3 linked regions of the Caenorhabditis elegans genome follow. The protein of the gene in region 3 interacts with the protein of the main gene of each other region in a pairwise test. Each region holds a gene or a part of one and is shown on either strand. Other genes may lie near its edges. The genes, in order: tol-1, cls-2 and act-5.

Evidence for each region.
Region 1: the proteins of act-5 (region 3) and tol-1 interact in a two-hybrid assay, tested with the Caenorhabditis elegans proteins (one large-scale study listed by BioGRID).
Region 2: the proteins of act-5 (region 3) and cls-2 interact in a two-hybrid assay, tested with the Caenorhabditis elegans proteins (one large-scale study listed by BioGRID).

The regions. Positions count from the first base shown.
Region 1 is NC_003279.8:442,183-450,180, forward strand, and holds the start of tol-1 (TIR domain-containing protein), read left to right. Parts: upstream 1-1,820; 5' UTR 1,821-1,835; coding exon 1,836-1,927; intron 1,928-2,071; coding exon 2,072-2,194; intron 2,195-2,811; coding exon 2,812-2,902; intron 2,903-4,525; coding exon 4,526-4,600; intron 4,601-4,731; coding exon 4,732-4,869; intron 4,870-7,998.
Region 2 is NC_003281.10:9,051,725-9,060,839, forward strand, and holds cls-2 (TOG domain-containing protein), read left to right. Parts: upstream 1-3,323; 5' UTR 3,324-3,327; coding exon 3,328-3,420; intron 3,421-3,469; coding exon 3,470-4,271; intron 4,272-4,316; coding exon 4,317-4,972; intron 4,973-5,019; coding exon 5,020-5,403; intron 5,404-5,447; coding exon 5,448-5,831; intron 5,832-6,056; coding exon 6,057-6,497; intron 6,498-6,539; coding exon 6,540-6,668; intron 6,669-6,719; coding exon 6,720-6,902; 3' UTR 6,903-7,171; downstream 7,172-9,115. Other genes in the region: R107.5 (uncharacterized protein), read right to left, coding at 33-399, 453-653, 698-798, 1,905-2,060; gst-1 (Glutathione S-transferase P), read left to right, coding at 7,633-7,767, 7,822-7,909, 7,958-8,361; lin-12 (lin-12/Notch intracellular domain), read right to left, coding at 8,678-8,800. UniProt on the Caenorhabditis elegans protein: Probable microtubule plus-end tracking protein that promotes the stabilization of dynamic microtubules. Required for the formation of mitotic and meiotic spindles. Specifically promotes the polymerization of kinetochore-bound microtubules.
Region 3 is NC_003281.10:13,601,846-13,608,984, forward strand, and holds act-5 (Actin), read right to left. Parts: upstream 4,222-7,139; coding exon 3,721-4,221; intron 3,386-3,720; coding exon 2,919-3,385; intron 2,869-2,918; coding exon 2,709-2,868; 3' UTR 2,567-2,708; downstream 1-2,566. Other genes in the region: shpk-1 (Carbohydrate kinase FGGY N-terminal domain-containing protein), read left to right, coding at 6,227-6,300, 6,685-6,787, 6,831-6,942, 7,032-7,139.

The sequences.
Region 1 (7,998 bases), on a different chromosome or scaffold from region 3:
TGACACCACACTTCCGATAATCGCTTCGTCGTCTTGTCATCATCGTCGTTTTCTTCGTCTTGTTGTCGTCCGGTCCCCACACACACATCAAAACGGCTACTTCCGACGTGTCGGTGGTTTGTGTGTGTGTCAAACGGCACCACCACAAGTGGTTGCCCTCGCCCGTGTGCTAATTCGCATTTTGTCTTGTTAATCACGCAATAGTGATAACAATCGCTTCCGGACCATTGCTAATATAATATATTGGCTACCGCGGGCATGTCTTGGCAATAACCTTGATGTCAAGTTTTATCGTTAAAATGTGAAGCTGTATGATTGCGAAAAATTTGAAGTTTTCCCATTCAAATTGTAGGCATATTTGAAAAATTTCTGAAGATTTATATCTGTCGTAAGTGGAACGGTTTATTTGGTTTCTTGGGTCTCGTCGCGAAAAGCTTTCACTATGGTTTGAAGCACGACTGGGCGACAATCGAAGTCGAAGTTCGGCAATTCGATAATTCGGCAATTATCGAGTTCAAGATTTTCGAAAGAAAAACTCAAAAAATAATTTTGAAATCTATTTATTAGTTCTGGACACGCGGAGTCAGAAAGTCCCATTTCGCTTTGATCTACGAAAAATGCGGGAGTTGAGACGCAGACATCTCAACTGATTTCGCATGGTTAAGAGTGTGCTGACGTCACAATTGTTCTGGAAAAAAATTCCCGCATTTTTTGTAGATCAAACCGTAATGGGATAGCCTGGACGTAGAACTCGCCAAATCGTAGATATATGCATAATGAAAACTCTAGAGTTAACTCTGCCACCCTCATAAAGTGAGTTAGAAACATTTCTGCTCTGAGGAACTATAGAACCCCCTTTCAAGTCGATCGTCAGCAAATTCTAGAAAGATCTGACAGTGGCCGATTTTTTAATGTTTCTAGGCCACGTAAAAAAGCTGATGTCTTGTTACTTTTCAATTCGAAAATCCCTTTTTTTAATTTTTCGGCAGCACCCGGTCCGAGCCAACATCTTCCTAAACACTTCAAAACCCCGCCCCCTTCTGCCCTCCCGGGTGTCTCCGTGTTGTTCAGGGTGTTGTCCACCCCCTAGACACCCAACTGACCATTCACCCGTCTCCTCCTCCCCCTCTACAACAACCACCACCACCTGATCCATTCCATTATAATGATATTCCGCATACTTGTCATACAGAGAATACCCGGTTTGCTGCTGCCAAACGGTTTTCATTTATTCCATTTCTCACTCCTTGATTGTTGTCAATTCTTCGATTCGATGCGGCAAAACTAGCGCCAGTGGGGAAATTGCTTTAATAGTAAACAATTTTTTTTTAAATTTCCTATATTTTTTGTATAAGATTTTCTTTTTTAATTGCAAATCCCATGGGAAAGTCTCAAATTGCATAAAATTCCAATTTGAATTCCCTCCAAGATTTCAATGTTCGATGGAGCGCACTTGAATTATTATAATTTTTATCAATGAATTTTTTTATCATCTCTGACTGATTTTTCACGATTTTTTGTGTAGTTTTAGAGGAAATTTACTGAAAAATCCAAGTTAAATGTAAATTTCCGATTTTTATACAATTTTTGGACTACTTTCCCCGCCGCCACCGCTAAAAATCCCAATTTCCTGCAAGTTTTCACCTGCTCTGACTCATTTCCGCGAGCGCGCGCGCTCGTACTTTTTATCTTTTACTATTTATTTATCTCCTCCAAAAAAAAATCCCGTTAATTTTTTTTCCCTTACAATTTCTCATAATTTACTCATTTAGTTTGGCTTAAAAAATGCTAAATTAAATTTTTTTTTCATTTCCAGATCACATGACACAACGAAAATGAGGAGAAAAATGAAGTTATTCCTATTTTTATTATTAGTAATTAATATATGTCGGTCGGCCGCTGCTAACGGTGACGAATGCCCGAAATTGTGAGTTTTTCGCTTAAAAATCAGATTTTTTTCGAATTTACTGTGAAAAAGCGGGGGTTTTGCCTGAATTTTCACTTAAAACTGCTTTTTTTTGCTAAAATCCCGAATTTTTCAGAGAAAAATAATTCAAACTCCATTTTTCAGCTGTAAATGTGCTCCGGATCCGGTGCAGCCGACGTCTAAACTCCTATTATGCGACTATTCTTCGAAAAACACGACAATTACACCTATTGCGTCGTCGAATTATGATCAGGTTGCTAATATTCGGTGAGGTTTTTTGATTTTTGAATGAAAAATTTGAGAAATTTTTAAAAATGGGAAAAAATGTGATTTTTAAATCAAGATATCGGAAAATACGAAAAAATTTCCAAGAAAATGGTGGTTTTTATCGAAAAAATGTTAAAAATGCATAGAAAATTTGGATTTTCGAGTTCGAAATTTTCTGAAAACAAAAAAAAAAGTTTTTTTTTACACTAAAACATTAAAATTGGATTTTTTTTTCCGAAAAACATAATTTTTCAATTTCTAACAGTAAAAAGCTCACAAAATTCCTTGAAAATTGACAAATTTAGTATTTTTTACACGAAAAATGCATTAAAATTGAATTTTTAAAACAATTTAAACTTAAAATAAAATTTTCATTTATTCTACACGGTAAATGTATTAAAATAATTAAAACTTCGAAATTTTAAATTAGAAAAAATCAAATTTCCTCCTTATTCTCAATTTTTTTTTACAGCAAAATTTCAGTTGAATTTTCCCATAATTTTGAATTAAAAATGTGTTTTATTCCAAAAAAAAACTATTTTACAACAAAAAACTAGATTTTTTCCCAATTTTCTATGAAAAATTTAATTTACCAATAACTTATTTTCTTTTTCCAGATCACTATTCATATCTTGTGATAATAATAATTTCCAATTTCCGGATGCCTACTTCAAGTCGTTAACCGCGTTGCATCATCTGCGGATAGTGGTGAGTTTATTATATTATCAGCTGTTCTCTACAGAACATCTGCTTTTTGCGTGTAAATTTAGAGGTCAATTTTCGGAAAAATTGGAAAAATTGGCCTAAATCTCAATTTGAAGTAGATTTTCACGTGTTCAAAAATGTTCAAAAAATTCAATCAAAAATTCGATTTTTGGAATACTTCAAAAAAATTTAATTTTCTTCGAGAAAACCGGTAAATTACAAAAAAAATTCGTTGGCGATTTTTTTCTGTAGTTTTCCAGAAAAACAAACGAAAATTTTAATTTTTAATTTTTAAATTTTCCAAAAAAAATTTTTAAAAATTCATAAATATGTCCATTTTAATTTTAAAAATATCGGAAAATATTCAAAAAATGAACTTTTCTATCGAAAATTTAACAAGAAAAAATTACGAAAAGTTCATTCAAAAAATTAAAATTCTTCTATATCTGAGGAAGGCTAACAGTAATTTTTTCCCATTTTTTGACTCTTTGAGCAAATAACCGTATCACTAATTACCTTAACCATCAAAAAAGAAAGGTGTGCCTGTCTTCTATTCATCCTCCTCTCGACACCAAATTCTTAAGAAGAGCCCCCCACTCGGATGTCTCTAATTAGGCACAAATGTTACGTCATTTTGTCATTTGTACGGCCACAGATGACCTCCGGTGTGCTTGGAGGACTGCGAGAGAGGAGGATTAAGGGGATTTTTATGTCCTACAATTGATTTTTTTAGGTCAAAAGTAGGGATTTTAAGGCCAAAAATAGAGATTTTTTAGGTCAAAAGTAGGGATTTTAAAGCAAAAAAAAAAAATTTTCGGCCAAAACAGTGGTTTTTAAGGCCAAAAAATTTAATTTTTCCGTTTATGACACCTAAAATTGGGGTGAAATTTTTTTTTCGGATAGAAATCTAAAATTGCAATTGTTAATTATTCCAACATTTTTTTTTGCATTAAACGTTATTGTAAAAACATTGAAAATCACTTGATTTATCCGAAAATTTCATTTATTTCAGATAAATATTGTTTAATAAAAAATGTGTTAAAAAACATGGTGCATAGATATATAGATAATTTTGTAGAATAATTGAAAATTGCAATTTTTAACTTCCTACCCGAGTAAACAGAATTTAAATCCAATTTTAGGTGTCATAAACGGAAAAATCCCAATTTTTGGCCTTAAAAAATCCCAATTTTTCGGCCTAAAACTCCCTAATTTTGGCCTAAATCACCCTATTTTTAGCCTAAAAAAGTCCCCTGTTTTTCCATTTTCCCCAGGAACTCGTAGAAGAACATGTGTTAGGCGTGAAGAGGTTAAGCCGATTAGCCATGTAATATTCAATACTTGAGTATAGAAGGGCCAGAAGCAGCAGCAGCAGGGGGTGCTCCAAGAGCACCACCTCAACAGATGTATAAAGTGGTTTTCGAGTAGATTTGTGGTTTTGCACACGGTGGAAGAAATCTGAAATTTGAATTTTTTAAAGCCATTTTTGTGCTGAAAAATGTACAGAATAACCGAAATTTCACCACCCTTTAAGGTACGGGAAATCTCCGGGAAAAAGGCTCAAAAATTGCATAAAAATGGAGATTTTAAAGCTAAAAATAGCTATTTTAACAAGTTTTTTTGCAGGGATGCGAGACCACACATTTCTCTGTGAAATTGTTCGAAGATTTGGCCGCTTTGAGAAGATTGGAACTCGATCAGGTACATTTTTCTTGGAAAATCTAGAAAATTTTGCTGAAATTGGCTCAGAAATGTCCTAAATAGTAGAATTTTTCATTAAAAAGCCTCTCAAAACGGCTTAAAATTAAGTAAAAATCGACATTTTTTCACAGATCTCCACCGCCTCAACCTCTTTCGAAATGACCGAAGACGTCCTAATGCCGTTGGCTCGTCTCGAAAAGTTTTCCCTCACGAGATCACGGAATATCGAGCTTCCACAGCGACTTTTGTGCTCTCTGCCGCATTTACAGGTATATTTTTGGGTAATTGATAATTCGCCAAAAAGAACAGCAGCCGAAAACTCAAATTTTTCACGAAATTTGCCGAAAAACTAGATTTGTAAAATAAAAAGAATGCAAGAATTTTTAGCTTAAAAATCTCAATTTTGAACGATTTTTAAAGCAATTTCAGTATGAAAAATCCAGATATTTTTTGGGTAAAAATTTGGTGAAAACGCGTTAAAATCTGCATTTTTGAACGAAATTCGCCAAAAATCAAGACTTTTGTAGTGCATTTTACTGTAAAAATGTATACCTATTTTCTATTTTTATGCGTACTGCGCAATATATTTGACGCGCAAAATACCTCGCAGCGAAAACTACTCTTCAAATGACTACTGTAGCGCTTGTGTCGATTTACGGGATCGATTGATAGAATATCAAAATTAGAAATAAATGGGAAACTACTGCGAAAACAAAAATTTATTTCAAAAATTGAGTCCGTAAATCGACACTACAGTAGCCATCTAAAGAATTACTGTAGTTTTCGCTACGAGATATTTTGCGCGTCAAATGTGTTGCGCAGTATGCATTCCCATCTTGTTCTCTACATTCAATTACCACCACATCTCACAGAGAAGGAATTAGTTGTTTATTAGTACGTGGGGGGGGGGGGGCTTTAAAGCTTACTACTTCTTCTTTCTTTCCACTTTCTGACGTTCAACCATCTGGTATTCCTGGCGGCGGGGCAATTGAAAATGAGAACAAAAGGACATCGATGGAGGGAGGAGGATTGAGAGTTTGGAAATTGTGAAGAATGCGCGCGGAAGGAGGAGGTCAAATATCACAAGCGCCGGAAGTTGTTGTCAGCCAGAAGCAATAAAGGCCTAATTATGATGATGATGAAGAACCTCCCTGAAAGAGAATAGCGAAAATGTGAAGTTTCCATCTCAAGGGAGCGATTTTTTAGTGATCATGGAGTCTTGAAGTGTGCACATAGTCTACGTGCCCCACAAGAGCCTATGCCTGCCTTATGCCTACTCACATGCTCACAGCCAAACTCTTTCGAAATCAGAATTCTACATTGTAGAATCTACAACACTGAAGTTTCTGCCATAACGTTGAAAATAGGCACCTACGCCTGAATACGTGCCTGATCAACATGGATGCCATATAGTCCAGGCTGTATAGTCGTAAAACAGGGATTTTTTAGGCTCATGGGTTTTTGTCGGAAAAAATCGAACATTGAGAAAACCAGAAATTTTTCAAATTTTCGTATACTATTCCACGAATCGTTTCTCCCGTTTATCGAATCTCCACGTCGCACTGTAATTTTTCAAGTATCGTTAGTCCATTCGCCCGAGAAACTCCACAGTTACAAATGCTTTGCAAGCATTTTCAAGAAACCATGGTTCCTGGCATGTTTTGGCGCATTCAATAATGCCGCTAATAATAATAATAATGCCTCCTATTATGATGTCGCGTTGTCATCGTTTGCTGCTGCTCCGTCAGATACTTTATGGGGTTGTTGTTTTCTCCCTCCGCATCAAACGACGTTCCTCTCTTCAAAATGATGATGGATATACATATATCTATGTTTATAGAAGAATTGAACCCCACACTTTACATATGAATAGATGGGGACCTTGTTACCTTGACTATCGGGAAGAGATTGAAGGTTCCAAAGACGGCTGGCTGTGGCTCATTAGGCTAAATGATGCGTGATATTATTCGCTCTACGGCACCTCTATGATCCAGGAATAGCAGTCACTGTCAACAAGAGTCACCTCACGGCAACAATACTCCGCTAATTACGGTTTGCGGCAAATCCCAGAATTTATTTGAAATTCTAACTGGGTGTTGCAGATGGGTCGAGGAAATATGATAGCAATAATTATTGTTACGTGGCAATTGTAATCCGTCAGATATCGTTTCGAGACCTGCTGACTCAAGAATGTGAAAATGGACAAATTTGGAAAATAGGTAGCGGAAAATTTTCGCAAGTTTTGAAAATTTCGGTCATGATACGATACGAACTCCTTGATTTTCACAGCCCGACAAGCCGTACGCGTACGCAATTTGTCTACCGTATACCTGAACGTTCAGGCTCGTCTATCTCGAAAACAGTTGGTCCAGCCTTTTTGTGGGGCATATAAAAAAGGTCAGAACATAAATTCTAAAATTTTTTGGACCATAGCTTGTTTCGTTATCACGCGCCCAAACCTGATCTACACTCAAATTATCAGTAGAGCGCATTTGCATGGATGTACCACTTGCCGGGCCGTGATTTTGAATGGAATATTAAATTCCACGTCACTCTAGTGAATCTCCGCTTCTCAATATGCTTCATAATTCATCAAATTCAATTCATTTTCGGATAAGCCAGTTGTAAACAGTTGTGTGTGTGTGAGTGAGCTCATCCTTCATAAAATGAATAGAGATAGAACACTGACACTCTCTCAAAGACAAGAGGAATTAATAAATATGAGAGCTCATTAGCTGCTCTTCTCGTGACTACTAATTAGGAGGGTGGTACATGAAACAGTGTATGTGTAAAGGGATCCCCGCCGCCGCCGCCGCCAATGTCTTTCGGTGTATGGCAATATCCGAGTGGTGTTCTCATTTTGAAGAGAGTATTAGGATGTAACGTATCAACTGGAGAGAGATAGTTCAAAGATTGGGGATTTGAGATATTTTAGGTGTCGAAATGGATGAAATATAAGCATAGGGAGGAAATAAATAGAAAACGATATACTTAAATAGCAATAGTTATTTGAGTTCTTACTGTAGTTTTCGCTAAGAGATATCGCGCGTCAAATAAAATGCTCTACGTACGCATTCTCATGATTTATTGTTCCCGTAATATAAACATAGCAAACATTTTTAATGTTTAAATATTCCTCAATGCTATTGAAATTCAAATTAGTACAAAGAAAGCAATTTTTCGATTTTTTTAACGAGAAAACTAAGTTTTCATCAAAAAATATGTAGATTTTGATGAAAATAATATGACAATTTATTTAAACCTATATATTTTTTTGTCCAAAACAACTTTACGAAAAAAATTTTTTTTTAAATAAAATTATTGGATTTTTCGTCAACTTTACGATAAATTCCGAAAAATTAACAATAAATATAGGAGAAAAAAATCCGAAATTAACG
Region 2 (9,115 bases), 4.6 Mb from region 3:
GAATAATAACCCGTGAATAATATACAGTGAGATCATTCGAACTCCATCATTTCTTCATCAGTCACACTTCCGTTTGTCAAACTGTTCGGAGAATCAGGATCGAGTTCCACAATTTGAGAAGAACCAGTTGGCGAAGCCATTGGAGAGCTCCACGAAGATCCAATATCGCTGTGATCCGAGCCGGTGCCCAGTTCAACGATTCCCGTTGTTTCGTTGCGCGTGTCTTCATCGATCATGCCTTCATTCTCAATGATACGAGTCTTGATCTCTTCGTTAACTCGATCTTCCTCCTCGTCGTCAATCTCTTGTATTCGACCAGCCATATTGAAGTCGTTCTTTGGTGAAACCAGAATTCGCGGCTGCCAGATAACCATTTCATTTCCTTTCAACTTTTCTGGTCTGAAATAAAACATTTTAATTACAGAGAAATTAATTTTTGTAAAAGAACTTACTTTGGTAAGAAATCAATAGGACCCTGGCGGCACTTTTCAAAGTATCGTTGAATAGATTCATCCAATCGAATCTTTTTGGCTACTGCCGGCTCATCATCTGGCTCAACCACCAATGGAATAGAAGTTGATTCAGTGCATTGGTCAAAGTTTGAATCGTCGTAAACTTCATCCATTTCTTCGTCGGACGATGATTCCCTGCAACTTATAATCGAACATTATTTGTCAAAAACAAGGCTGAAACGTACATATTGATTGGCGACGGTTTGTCATTTGAAATTGAGAAGTTTTCCAGGCAGGCGCTTATTTTATCGAACCTTCTCTTCGTTCTCGGAACATATTCCATGTCCTAAAATTGAAAAATTTAGAATGAAAAACTTGCAGAGAATATCATTTGTTTGCACGACAGAATTTAATTTTATCTCAAGTACAGAATGTGTTAAATTCAGAACAATTGACCAATGTTCTGACTTGTTAGAGGTGGAAAGAAAATAGGTAATCTGCTTAGAAGCGCGAGGGAACGAGCGACAAGGCACACGGCGGGTTGGCTGATGCGAGACACACCCGGGCGCCAGTGAACACGCAAGCGCGAGAGGGTGCAGAGATTCAGTGAACCGCACAGGCGACGTTACATTAGACGACAATTTTTCATGGAAACAATTGTGAGGAAACTAATGAATGACTGATGATCTGGTAAGAACGGAAAACGAAGAACGGAAAACGAAAGGAACGACTAATTTAACGAGAAATGAGGGAAAATGTGATGGAGGGAAGCGCAAATATTTGATAACGATAGACGGAGAAAGAACTGTTGAAGAATTTGCAACTGAATGAACTAATAACGTGTAGAAAACAGTTGCTTAGCAAAATAATATCGAAAATAAGTTAAATGCTGAAAATTGTACCCTAAATTCTAATCTTCTCGGTATAATTAAGAATATTAAAAATATTTAACTCGAGTTTCTCTCTTAAATAAACAAATATGAGACATTTGAAGCTCATAGAGACTACTGTGACTGAGATCGTGGCGAGACCCACTCAAAACATAACAGCGCGTGCCTTGGAACTTAAATATCGCAATTACGGTATATGATTTCTTTCGAAGAAATAAAATGAAACAATATTTAATGGAAGTAAAAATCTTGCAAAAGACCTCCGAAAAATAAGGCGACAACCCTACTCTCTCAAGAACAGGCACTCGTTTATGCCTTTTGGAAACACCAGCTGTCTCGACCACACTCAACCATGCAAACTAAATCGGGTAGCAGTTCATGAATCAACACGTGATGGCTTCATCCCACCTAGTTTATGATGTCGAAAGATTTTTTCGAATGAATCTAAGCTTTGCACGTGCTTTAATTGTTCATAACATCTCAGACTAGTTTTTTATTCAAAGTTCTTAAATCTAGTTAAAAATTGTATGATAAAATCGAAATTTAACGATGAGTCACTTACCAACTCAAATTCAACGGGAAACGGGCGTTTTCCATTTGGTTCTCGTACATAATAATGATTTTCTTCTGGTGGCTGATGTGAGTTGAAGTTGTAGGGCTGGTGAAGATTCGAATTTTGATTCGAGAACGATTCGCTGAAGTTGGTGAGTTGTGTCATTTCTGCAAAAAAAAATAAAGCATATGACTTTACACATGGAAAAGGAGAAACAGAAGAGAAAGACGCAATGCAATTTCAACTAAAAAAATTGAAAATTGAAACGGAGATAAACACACAACAACGCGGAAACAATGAAGGACAGGTTTAACGTGTCAAAAATGTCGATATGATTGCAAATTTTGGTGAGAAACCTCGATTACGGGGGCGGGAAACTCTTTTGTATGAGAATTGAGGTCTTCGGGAAGTGAGCGGATTGTTCTAGAAGGTTCGCGCAACAAACCAATCGACCACGTGGAGGAGACACATCGCTACGGTTAGAGACGCAGACAGCTAAACGCTCGGCAAGCGCTATTCAACCGAGACAGCCGAGAAGTTTCTGTCGGAATGGGAAAATATAGGCGACTTTTTCCGAAAACGATCAGTTTTTGGTAGTGAAAGTGAAGAATATGATAGTACAGCTGAAATGAATTGATTGTTTTCTGCCTGTAGAAAAACCAACCATGATTATGAAATAATCGTACAATAGAAGCCATTCAAGAATCTCGTAATTTAAAATTCGCAGTTATAATTTTCTCAGCACTCTGGCGCATTCACAAAAATTTATATCAAACAGACAGAGTTGCACTTTACAGACAGAAGCAATACACATGTGTATTTTAGAAAAACATTTATTTTAGTAAATATATTTCCTGTAACGTTTCTGATATATATTTTACAGAAGAAACGAGCGAAATCGGTGAAAAAAATCGGTTTTTTTTTAATCCTTTAATGTTTGAATCTGGCGCCGGACGCGTTTTCGTCTCGAGACCCGAGGCTGTGCCTTTAACACTTTGATGTCTCGTCTCTCTACTCTCTCGTCAGCACTATTTTTAGCCTAAAAATTTTTAAATATCATTTCTAGAATTTTCATTTGGATATGCAAAATTTTTTCATTGAAAATTGAAACGTTCTTCGCGCTTTTTTCTTATATTCTCCTTTCTCAGCTTTGGAATTCATTATTTTCTTCGAATACGATTTCCTTGAGTCTTTGGTGTGAATCATTTTTCAAGATTGAATGTCTGTTTGAATTTATCGAAATGATCCAAGTAAAATGTGCCCTCCTCACCGTTTTCGAAATTAATGCAATTGCGCTCTAGTAATGACAAATCCTTGCCGGGCTATTTCACAATTTGCGCTCGATACTGAATGTTTGTTCTGTGTTTGTAAACTGTTGGATTTTCTCATTCTCTCCATTTTTGCTTTCTTTCACAATATCTATATTTTCCAGATGAGCCGTGTCATCAGCCGATCGACTCCGGGTGGGACATGTATCGTCAGCAAGGACGACTTTTTGAAGTCGTTCGAGGAAGTGCCCAAAATGGTAAGTTTTGTTCTCGCGTATGGTCTGGTCTTACTTATTTGTTTTTCAGGAAATCTCGTCGCCCTCAGACTTCAAGGAAAAGTTGGACCAGACAATTGAAACTCTGTCGAAAGGCCAGGAAGACTGGAACAAACGAATGAATAAGTTGAAACAGATTCGCTCAATGGTGGTTCACGGAGAAGACGTTATTGGAAGGGAGCAGCTTTTGAGCCAGCTTGTCCGGCTTACCGACTGCCTGGACCTCTCAGTGAAAGATCTCCGATCGCAAATCCTGCGAGAAGCTGCGATCACCTGTGGATTCCTATTCAAACGGTTCGGGACGGATGTTCGTCAAATTGCCGAGAGATGTCTTCCATCAGCGTTTGCCCAAGTCGCTGTAAGCACAAAGGTGATGGCAACGTGTGGAGCGGTGTTAACTCTGTTTATTGTTGAATTTATTCAAACAAAACAGATTTTCACTTGCATTGCCTCCTACTCCACATCGAAGGATAAAAATCAACGGAGACAGCTGTGCGCATTGCTGGAAATCGTCCTCGAACATTGGAACGAAAAGATCAAGAGGACAGTTCTACCACAAATTGGCGAGTTGATCAAGGCAGCAATTTGCGATGCTGATCCAGAGACCAGAGTTGCCGGACGAAAAGCATTCAGCAAGCTCGATGCACTACACTCCACTGAGGCAGACAAACTATTTGCTTCAGTCGACTCATCGAAACAAAAGATGTTGCGTGCCTCTGATGCTGCATCATCAAGCACGAGCATCAATAGTGAACGCGGAACTGCACCATTTCGGTCGAAATTGTCTGCGGGCAGTATTGGTGGAATCAGAAATGCACCGAACATTTCTTCAAGTGAGTTTAAAGTTCAACATATCAATCCAATTATTTCGTTTACAGAGTTTCTTGCTCAAAGAAGTGCTTCTGCCATCGATACAAAGCAGGTGACGCGAATGGCAACATCTGTGTCCAGAACTCCAAACATTCGCCCGATGACCACTAGGACACTTTCAAAAATCGACACCTCTCCAGGAGGTTCGAAGTTTGCTAGACCAACAGTTGGAGCGCTTGGTTCTCGTACCTCTTCCAATCTTCGTGCTCGTGGAAGTGTCCCAACGTCTCAGCCTGGTTCTCGAAATGGATCACCGCCACGCCGTCCATCCGCCACAGAGGCATTTCCAGCCGAAATGCAACGAGTCAAGTCGAATCTTGGTTCTAACTCGTTCGTTTCTTCTCTGTCAGCCGAGGAAGCTACGAAACTGCAGAAGGCAATGAACACGGCAAAGGAGAGCTTGAGGCAACCATCACGCAACGATGATGATGAGTTCCTCTTGCCAAAACGTCCAACCCCACAGAAGGCAACACCACAAAAAAGTGCACTTGATACTTCCAGAGTGGAAGAAGTGATTCGTGCTTGTTCGTCGACCTCTGCAAATGAGAAGCGAGAAGGAATTAAAATGCTTGCAGGCATTGTTTCGGAGCCAAATCTCAGCAACGCCGAAATCAAAAGCCTGGGCGCGGTTCTTAACAGATTGCTCGGAGAATCCACGAACCAGGTAGAACATTTTAATTTAATAATTTTTATTGCAACATTTTATTTCAGATTGTGCTGGAATCAATCAGTTCGTTTGTCAAAACCCATCATCCCCGTCTCAGTGATTGGCTCAAGCTTGGCCTTGGAAAGCTGTTTGCAAAGAAAGGAGCAGAGATGACGTTGAACAGTAAGAAGCAAATTTCCACAACCATCAGCTGTATTCTGTCATCGTTTGATCCAACCCTGCAATTGAAATCAACATGCGAGCTGGTGTGCGATCCAATTCATCTAATGTCCCCGAAGAGTCGCGTGGTCCTTCTTGAATATCTCAATGAACTTCTTGGGAAGTATATGGAGCGAGGATCGTCGTTCAACACTAAAGAGATGAAGGCCACCATTCTCAAGATGTTTTCGTGGATGGCAGATCAGAGGAATGAACAGTTGATCACCCCGGTAATTATAGCTCTCTCTTTATTTTAGCAATATGCATTTTTCAGCATGGCGAGAAAGTACTCTGCTCACTCTTCGCATTGAACAACGCCGACTTCTCTGCACTTTTCAACGACTTCAACCCCGACTATCGCGATTGGGCATACAAAGTTCTTCAGTCTCACGGACATGATCAACACGTTCCACAACAAGATGCTGTTTCTGAAGAGGCCTGTGTGCGAGCCACGATTTCTACTACAGCTGCGCAGATAGAAGATTTCGTCGTGTCGAGGAATCTTGATATGACTCCAGTAAAATCGCCTAGCACAAGAGCCATTTCGTCGGGTTTCAAACGAGTCGATGCGGAACCACTTCGTCCTCTGTCTTCGGAAATGAATTCACAGCACAGAGACGAGGAACTCAGCTTCAATGAGTCATTCGACCGATTAAAGGTATTTAACAGCATTATATTTAAAAGAAAATGGTTTTAAATGACAAGTGGTCAGAGGATTTCGAACCCCCCCCCCCCCCCCCCTCTTTCTTCGTTTCAGTGGCCACGTAAGGCGCGTAGTTCAGCAAAGTATATTTTTCGTAGACGTTAAAAATCATTTCTACATTTTGGCTCAATAATGACCGTCAGTTTCATCCTCCTATTCTTTCTTCAAATTATTTTTCAGCTCAACTCAACAACGCATCTTATTGACGATACGTCGGAGCAGAGCAAGTACGTGGCGTCGAAGCTGGCCCAGATCTCTGGTGACATGGGAGCTCAGCAATACGAAGGACTTTTGTCGATCCAGACAATGTTGTGTGAAGGCTCATTCACTCTTTGGGAGCAAAACTTCGCCAAGCTGTTGATCGCTGTCTTCGATGTGCTCTCCAAAAGCGAATCAGACGCCAACAAGAAAGTAGCTCTGCGCGTTTTGACAAAGATGTGCACTTCGCAAGCATCGCGCTTGTTCGACTCTACGGAAATGGCCATCTGTAAAGTTTTGGATGCTGCTGTCAACTCACAAGACGGAACGATGAACGTGACCGCTGATGACTGCTTGAAAACGCTGGCAACCCACCTTCCACTGGCTAAGGTGGTTAACATCTCGCAGCTCATTTTGAATGAGGTAAGTTCAAGAATTTTTACATTTAGGTAATCTGTTTGTCAGTATTTGCAGGAGAAAGCTCAAGAACCCAAAGCAAGCTTGGTTCTGAAAATGATGACCAGATTGTTTGAAGGTCTCCAAGCCGACGAATTGAGCCCAGTGGTTGATGATTTGGCGCCATGTGTGATCAAGGTAACTATTTATCAAACATCGCAATTCATTAATGAAATTTTTACTTTGCAGTCTTACGATTCCCCATCGTCTGCAGTTCGGAAAACTGCTGTCTACTGTCTGGTCGCGATGGTGAACAAGTTGGGAATGAAGACAATGGAGCCACATCTTCAAAATCTGTCGTCTGGAAAGCTGAACCTTGTCCAAGTCTACGTCAATCGGGCAATGTCGTCCAGTTCACATTCGCACGTATGATTCGTCGTTGCAATGTAGCCCATAATTCCCCCGTATTCGTATCCCAAATTTCCCCCGTAAAACCTTATCGTCCCTTTTCTCTCATCCCTTCACTTTGTAATATAATTTTATTTGTCAAGAGCGGGTATTGCACACTTTCTCTATGCTCCTTTTAGCATAATTTCCCCCGACTTATGTCCCTTATGATTTTCGACCCCCGTATTTCTTATTTTTATTTTTATATATTTTCTTTTCTTATTTATTTTTTATATGAATATTTCTTAAATTTATTTCTTGTGTATAAGTTGAAAACCGTTTTTTCGTTCAGGCCAATATATATCTGGAACAATAGGTAAAAAACTTTCGGTATTCAATTAGCCATCACGTTTTGTTGACAGTAATCTCGTTTCAGTGTTTTTTCTGATCTGCTACCGGCGCCAAGACTAAACTATTGTTAATTTTCTAGAAACTTCTCTGGCATTTCAACGTCATCCAGAACAATTGTAATCATCTTAACAACTTTTTGTCATCATTTTCGTGCTGGCCACGTTGTCTTTCTCTTTCATTCCAGTGCTCTCTCTTGCTTGTTTCGTCTAGCACCCCTAGTACCTCCACGAACTATAAAAGCCGTTCTATTTGTCCACTTCTCACATTCGATTTCTTTTCTTAATTCTCTCTTGAAAACAAAAAAAACCAGTTTCCACATTTCAAGTGTTTGTTTTCAGTCAGTATTCACTCAACTTCGTTCAATATGACCCTCAAGCTCACGTACTTCGACATCCACGGACTCGCTGAGCCAATCCGTCTTCTTCTCGCGGACAAGCAAGTTGCCTACGAGGATCATCGTGTAACCTATGAACAATGGGCTGATATTAAACCAAAGATGGTGAGTTATTGTTTTCAAAGTTTTATTTATTTTTATTAAATGATTATTTTTCAGATCTTCGGCCAGGTTCCATGTCTTCTATCCGGAGACGAGGAGATTGTTCAATCTGGAGCTATCATCCGTCATCTCGCTCGTCTTAATGGTAACCATTTAAATGTTTTCTTCCGGTATCTTATAAAACAATTTTCAGGGCTCAATGGCTCCAACGAGACAGAGACAACTTTCATCGACATGTTCTACGAAGGACTTCGTGATTTGCACACCAAGTACACCACTATGATCTACAGAAACTACGAAGACGGCAAGGCTCCGTACATCAAGGACGTTCTTCCAGGAGAGCTCGCTCGTCTGGAGAAGCTTTTCCATACCTACAAGAACGGAGAGCACTACGTTATTGGAGACAAGGAAAGCTATGCGGATTATGTGCTGTTCGAGGAGCTCGACATTCATTTGATTCTCACACCAAATGCTCTTGATGGTGTTCCAGCACTCAAGAAGTTCCACGAGAGATTCGCTGAGCGTCCAAACATCAAGGCATATCTCAACAAGAGAGCTGCTATCAACCCACCAGTAAATGGAAATGGAAAACAATAAGCTAATTCAATTTTTTCTCATTTTGCAATCATCAAAAATTCCAGTTTGATATAATTTATTGTCTTCCTTAAAGCTTCCAATGAATCTCTGCTTCCCATACATCGTTTCAGTCGTTCGTGGAGCCAATACTCGGAAAATTATTCACTAATTTTTATTAATGTAACATTCAACAAAACATTTCAACCCGTAAGCCCATATACAATCAAGAAATGCAACAAAAAAAAGAACATCAAGTCTTATGCAAAATTTAGATGGAAACCCGTATAGCTCTAGAAAATAAGGAATTTAAATAATAAATGACGATTGTTCAGAAGATTCAAAAATAATGAGCTGGTTCGGAGTATCGCGTCATTGGTTCATTCTGCATTTGGGTGTACGATGTTGAAGCTCTTGTATACCACATTTCGCCATTTCCAAATGCTCCACATTGTGGTTGGAACTGAAAGTAACGTTATTTTAATTTATGTACGTTATATTTGAACTTTGTATATTACACATACGCGTAAAACGGTCTTGGCACGACAAATTTCTATTGAATGCGAAAAGGTGTGCGCCTTTAAAGATTACTGTAATTTCAAACATTTGTTGCTGCGGAATTTCCTTGTTACATTTATGTGATTTTATTGTTGTCCAGACTTTTAAACCATAACACTTATTTAGATTGGAAAGACTTAAAAATCCGCAAAAACACAAGATTCGAACTACAGTATTCTTAAAAGGCGCACGTTCTATTTAACAAAACTTTGTCGTGTCG
Region 3 (7,139 bases):
CGCAGCCACTTGTCTCGGAATACGAATTGAGCATCCACGATTGGCGACTCCCCACGAGAACTTGTCAGCCGAGCTTGTCTCATGACGTCCTGTCAAACGACGAAGATTGTCCTCTCCACCATGTGGATCGTACACCTTCATCGCATCCAAATGAGTACGCTTGAGCCCGTCCATGGCAGCTTCAATCGCGGCGATACCGCCTGGAGCACGCATTTCAGCGTGGAGAAGTTGGTATGGCATCTGGCTCCGTTCCAATCTCCCATGGTGACCTTTGGTTTGGGATCAAGAGATACGCAGACACCGAATTGTTCAGCAACTCTGGAAACATTTTTATTATATACAGGATCGTGATGAAAATACCTGTGCAAAATATATCTCGACATCCACAATTGATCTCCCATATCGATTCCTTCGCAGGTTCCGATTTGGAATTCCCATTGTCCAGGCGTCACTTCAGCATTTGTTCCGAAAATATTGAGCCCGGCGTGAAGGCAAGCACGATAATGTGTCTCAACGACTTCTCTCCCGAACGCACGATCCGCTCCGACGCTACAGTAGTACTTTCCTTGTGGAGCCGGGAATCCGTGTTTTGGCCATCCTAGTGAGTGCTCATCTCTGTCGACGATCAGATATTCCTGCTCCATACCAAACCATGGGCGGGTATCACGGATTTCGTTCATGATTTCGGCGCATGCTTGACGATGACTGGTTGCTGAAAATACTTCTTAAAGGAGCACCATTTTTGCACCATTTTTGGAGTAGGTCTCGCCGCGACAGATTTAACAGTAATAGAACTATTAAACTGTTAAACGAATATGAATTTTGAAAATTCTTTAAAAAAAACTTCATATAGGCGCAAATGCCTACGTGTTCCATGAAGTTTTTATTGCATTAAGTCAGCAAAGCAACTAGAAGGCGCATAGGCAGGCAGGCATCTAAATGCCTGTTTATTTTATTTCCTAACCTGTTGGCTGCATTTGATGGTCCAGCGTGTCACACATCACCAGCTTATTCCCACCGCCCAAAAACGGATCCGGATAGGCAGCGACTGGACGCAAATAACGATCCGAGTCACGTCCCTTTGCCTGCCCCGTCGAGCTTCCATCATAATTCCAGATGGGATAGTCCTCAATTCTCTTCGGAAGTTTATCAAAGGTTCGCGTTTTCGAACGGAGATTTTCCCCAGTTCCATCGATCCACACGTAGGTCGCCTGGATCTTTGTCGGATGAGGACGAAGTCCCAAGAATTGATCAATGACGGCTGTTCCAAGAGGCATGCGAGTTTCAAAGTTCAAGTGAGTCATTTTTACCTAAAACTTTATTTCATGTCTGGAAAATCTGTGTAGAAACTTACGGTTATTAGAATTTGCAATCGAGAGTTGTTCGTCGAGTAGAGCCAAGCTCGTAATAAATTGAGTTTGACCACCCACGCGAAAAAAATATTTTAACTATTGAGGAAATCTGTAGGCCGGCACGTTTAAACTTTTTGGAATGTTTTTTTATACAAACTTACAACAAATGAACCGTAACCGTCTGACTAGAATTGTGAATTTTGAAAAAAAAAAGTCGGAAGAAATGTATTTACGTGTAAGAAAAAAATTGACAAAAAATTTAATCGAATTCTATAAGAAGAGTTTTCAGTTTAATAATCGGCTCCTAATTTTTTTCGTACTTTTTTCCGATTATTTAAATGTTCACTATTTTTTTTTCTCCGGAGAAAAGCAGGTAACATTGCGTGCAATTTGAAAAATATGTAGTGTGAACGCGCTCAACATTTTAAAATTAATTCATCCTTTTTCCTGCGAGAAATCACTATGTACCTATCGAAAGCTTGTTGCTGGCTGCTACTCGAAAATTTTTGTAATTTCGGAAAAATTTGCATCTGGATATTTAGTGCAATAGAATTTAGAATTGGGCACAATTTATGGATATTTATAATTCCCGCCGATATTGCATGTATCTACTCATTTTTGACTCATTTTTCAGAAAGGTGGTTTCTTGTAGTTAGAGACAACTTTATTTGAAGAATTGCATGCTCTCTATAGCAAAAAGAACCGATTTTCCATAAGAAATCAAAATGGATGTTGCAAACTATCAAAAATGTTTTACAGTAAAACTATAAGACCGTACGATCATTTTTTCTCAAGAGTCATTTTTCAGTTCACTTTTTAAAATTTCTTTTTCCCAGTTATTGCAACAAGATAAAAATTATGGAAGTTGTCAAAAAAGTATCAAGAAAGCTCTGTATCACCGAAAAAAACGGGAACCGGATGGTACCGGAGTTGCCGAACGGCAGATCCGGTTTAGGTTAACTTATTTGTTTGTTTTTTTTTCTTAATTTCTAAGTAAAATCAATTTGGTACTTGTGCATTATTTCCCCTCATTTTAATATTATCCATTTTAATAAAACGTGATGTCCATTTTCCATCTTTAGGCTTAGAAATGATTATTTCCTAAGCCTAAAAAACAAAAACTCCACACGTTTTTATTTAAAATTATATTTTAAAAAATGAGGGGAAATAATACACAAGTACCATCAATTTTACTCAATTCCCAAGTAGCAAGTGGTCCTAACAAGTTTATTCATGTTAAGAAACCATAAATATAAAGAAAATGAAGTATCTCATGGAATTTGTGTCAAGTAAAATCGTGTTTCGCCTAGAAATGGAAGGCACATGTTGAAAAAAAAAATTTGAAAAAAAATCAGCTTAGAAGCACTTTCGGTGAACAATCGATGGGCCGGACTCGTCGTACTCCTGCTTGGAGATCCACATTTGCTGGAAGGTTGAGAGGGAAGCAAGAATAGATCCTCCGATCCAGACGGAGTACTTGCGCTCTGGTGGAGCAATAATCTTGATCTTCATTGTGCTGAAAATACAAGAATTATAATCTCATGTACTGAGAAATGTGAAGCTTACCTTGGAGCCAAATGTTGAATCTCCTTTTGCATACGATCAGCGATTCCTGGGAACATGGAGGTACCTCCGGAGAGAACAGTGTTGGCGTAGAGATCCTTTCTGATGTCGACATCGCACTTCATGATGGATTGGTAGGTGGTCTCGTGGATTCCGGCACCTTCCATTCCGATGAAGGCAGGCTGGAAGAGGACTTCTGGGCAGCGGAATCTCTCGTTTCCGATGGTGATAACCTGTCCGTCGGGAAGCTCGTAGCTCTTCTCGAGGGAGGAGGAGGAGGCGGCGGCGGCGAGCTCGGACTCGAAGTCGTGGGCGACGTAGCAAAGCTTCTCTTTGATGTCCCGGACGATTTCGCGTTCGGCGGTGGTGGTAAAAGTGTAACCGCGCTCGGTGAGGATCTTCATCATGTAGTCGGTCAAGTCGCGTCCGGCAAGATCGAGACGTTGGATGGCATGTGGGAGGGCATATCCCTGGAAGATTAGAAGATAAGATCGGATGTAGGTTCTAGATTTCTTAGATCCCAAAGAATTCTCACAAGAAGATTGTGGATCAGATAAGAAGATCAGAAGCTCAGGCTATGATTTGCAGAGAAATGAGGTGGCCTTGCTCTTACTAAGTTCTTACAGTTCCAAAAACTTAAAACTAAGGATAAGAGCTGCTGAGCTGAACTAAAAGTTTCCGAAAGCGCTGTGAGCCTGTTTCTGGCTGCAAAAATTAGTCGAAGCAGACGTAATCTCCAAAACTTTACACCGCCAAGTCAAAGAAGATTGCTGTCTTCTTATATTCTCTAAACCCATCTACCTACTTCATAGATTGGAACGGTGTGAGTGACACCATCTCCGGTGTCCAAAACGATTCCGGTGGTTCTTCCGGAAGCGTACAAGGAAAGCACAGCCTGAATGTTGACGTACATGGCTGGAGTGTTGAAGGTCTCAAACATGATCTGTGTCATCTTTTCTCTGTTGCTCTTTGGGTTCAATGGAGCCTCGGTAAGGAGAACTGGGTGTTCCTCTGGGGCGATACGAAGCTCGTTGTAGAATGTGTGATGCCAGATTTTCTCCATATCATCCCAGTTGGTGACGATTCCGTGCTCGATTGGGTACTTCAAGGTGAGGATTCCTCTCTTGGATTGTGCTTCATCTCCGACATACGAGTCCTTCTGTCCCATACCGACCATCACTCCCTGATGACGTGGGCGTCCGACGATGGACGGGAAGACGGCGCGTGGAGCATCGTCTCCGGCGAATCCGGCCTTGCACATTCCGGATCCATTGTCGACAACGAGGGCGGCGATTTCTTCTTCCATCTGAAATTAATAAAAGGTTGAAGAAGTCGAGTTTATAGAAAACGTTATTAAGTGATGTACGAGTACTATAAAATGCCGAAAAATGAAAATGTTGCCACATTTCCCCAAAAATGCAAAGTGTGTTATCAGTACCGCAGCCAGCTCACCATCGGGGGGAAAACGAGAAAAAGAGAGAATGGAGAGAATATGCCACATTCTGTATGTATATATGTGTGTGCGTTTGATACTGATAACTCCCTCTCTCACTTCGTTCTAAGAATTGCAGGTACGTGGTGGTTATATGTACACACTCACACACACACACACACACAAATTATCACGTCACACAGACAAAGTCATAGTTTGGTGAGCATGATGTAAGCAGCCTGTCAGAATTTGTGCTCAATTCTAGAACATGAAATTGTCAATTGACATGATATGCACTGGGAGGCTGTTAGCTATGGCCGATTTTATAAAATTGCTCAAATCAGTATAACAAATATGGAATAAACCTACGAAATTTTTGAAAATGCAGGCCAACAGGCTTACATCCGGGCTCCCCGAACTTTCCAGTAGCTCAAGCCGGCTGGTCCACTAACAAAGCATTTCAAAAAAATGTTATACATTGTCAGTTGACAACTTTACATGACCTCCTAAGATAAAAAACCCCCAAGAGATAAAAATCAACTACCGCCAGTCACTGGAGCGCTAGGAATGTAAAACTAGAAAAAATAAAGTGATAACATTCCAATTGACTCCAACTTTTAAATACTCCCTAAAATTGAAGTTTCCGCCTACCATTCCTCTTAAAGAAGCCATACTGGGAAAATGAGTCACTGATAAGTAATGAGTCAATGCTAGTTAGAAATACAATAGAAATTTAGGATCATAAACTATATTTTTTTAATGTTAGGGTGCAGCTAATCTTGAAAGTGCCGAAGATTCAAAGTTTCATTACATTACCCTTTCCGTATAATCCCAAAATACCCGTAAAAGTTACTACTACCCTATTCTGCTTATCACTGATAACAAAGAGGAAAGATGAGAAATCGGTCGAAGTGTGGAAGAAATTAATAGTTTAATTATTATTTTGAAAAAAGCAATTAGAAATGGAATAATTGAGATATCGACAATCTGAAAAACGTGAAAATAGCAGCCGGCAGCTTCCTGGGAATGTATGTAACATGGCAACAAAAAGGAAAAGAAAAAAGTTGTAAACTAAATAACAAAATTTATGTAGATTCATGTGTTGGATAGTATATTTTAACTTTTCGGCTGTAGAGGCTTATAGGTGGTTAAACTATATGTTTGTGCATTTACTATAAATCTTCTAACTACATTATAACATCATTACATGATAATCTAAATTACTGAAAAATCTTCATTACCAAGAAATAACTGTCAGTTGAACAAAAAAAAGATAATCTAAAAACTGTTTTGGCAATATTCTAATATGTATCACTTGTCGGACGAGGTATCGGAGTTCAATGTTTTGTTCCAGGTAGCACTATTCAAACTACAGTAACTCTACACTAGTTAAAAATAACAAAAGTTGTCAACTGGTAACACTTTTCATTTCTTAAACGTTTTTAGTTTTCAAAGAAAAGTTACATTTTTGTGCCCCACTGACCGAAAATGTACTTGCATCAACGAATTGTTTTTGTGAAATTTTCAAAACTTCTCATTACGAAATTTGGTAGTTTTGGGTCACTTCGGATCTAAAAAAAGCAAAGTCTCAGATTTCGGTACTCCATCTTTAAATCTTATAATCATACTTGCTTTATGTTTGCAATAGATTTATAATGTTTTTCCAATTTCTTTCCTCAATTATGCAAATCCATAAACTCCCGCCTCTGCACACCTCCAAAACGCTCCAAAACAGTCTCCCCCACTCTTCTATTTTTCTGTTTCTCTTGCACCCTCTCACTCTCTATTTATGCCCGTTCTTATCATTTTCAAGCTTCTTCTCATTCCAGGAAACCTCACCCCCGATTCCTCTTAAAATTGGAAACTCTTATCATCATTGATGACGGAGCAAGTTCATGTTGGCATTGATATTGGCACAACTTCGGCTAAAATTTGTGCAAGGAATGGGGAAAAGTGAGAAAATTCAATATAATCACAAAATTAATAAAAATAAAATTGCCTGCACATTATCAGTTGGCAAGTTTTGAAAAACAAAATTAAAATACAAAAGTGATTAATTGTTTTATTCCTTTGATTGGATCAAAACTATCTCAAAAAACCTATTACCAAAATGTGAAATGTAAATTTTTTCTGAATAGAATAATTGTACAACACTGGCAAAATCTGAAAAGTCATCAAAAAAAGTTTCAAGTCAAATAAATAGGTAATTATTTTGAATACGTTCTTTGGAATATTTCAATTTTTCAAAAACCATCAAACCATAGTGCCATCAAAAACTGAGTGTGTAAATTTTAGTACGCTGATTTTGTAAATAGATAAAACACTTTATATTTTTAGCGTAATCCTAGAATTCAAAAAAATCTACGAAGGTGACAATTCTGATGCAGCTGGACTTCAAAATCCGAAGATTATAATTCAAACTGTTTTGGATTTGTTGGAAGTTTGTAACCGCCTAAAAAACTGGACAAATTTTTTTTTTGCAGAGAACAAAATCTAATTTAGAATCGCGAAATCTGAAAATATCCAATATATGGACGTGTGGACAAATGCATGGAATTGTCATGTGGAAGCAACGACAGAATGAAATTGATTTAGGTATACAAAATGGGAGTTTTTGTTGCAAAAATTTTTGTATCTTAAAAACAATAATAATGTTTTCTCATTCAAAATAATGCAATTTCCAGAGACCCTAACCATCTCACCATTGTACAATTGGACATACAGTTCTACGGAGCTCCCAGCGTTTCTAAAAACTATTCCTAAATGGGAATGTGGAGATTTGCATCCAGGGT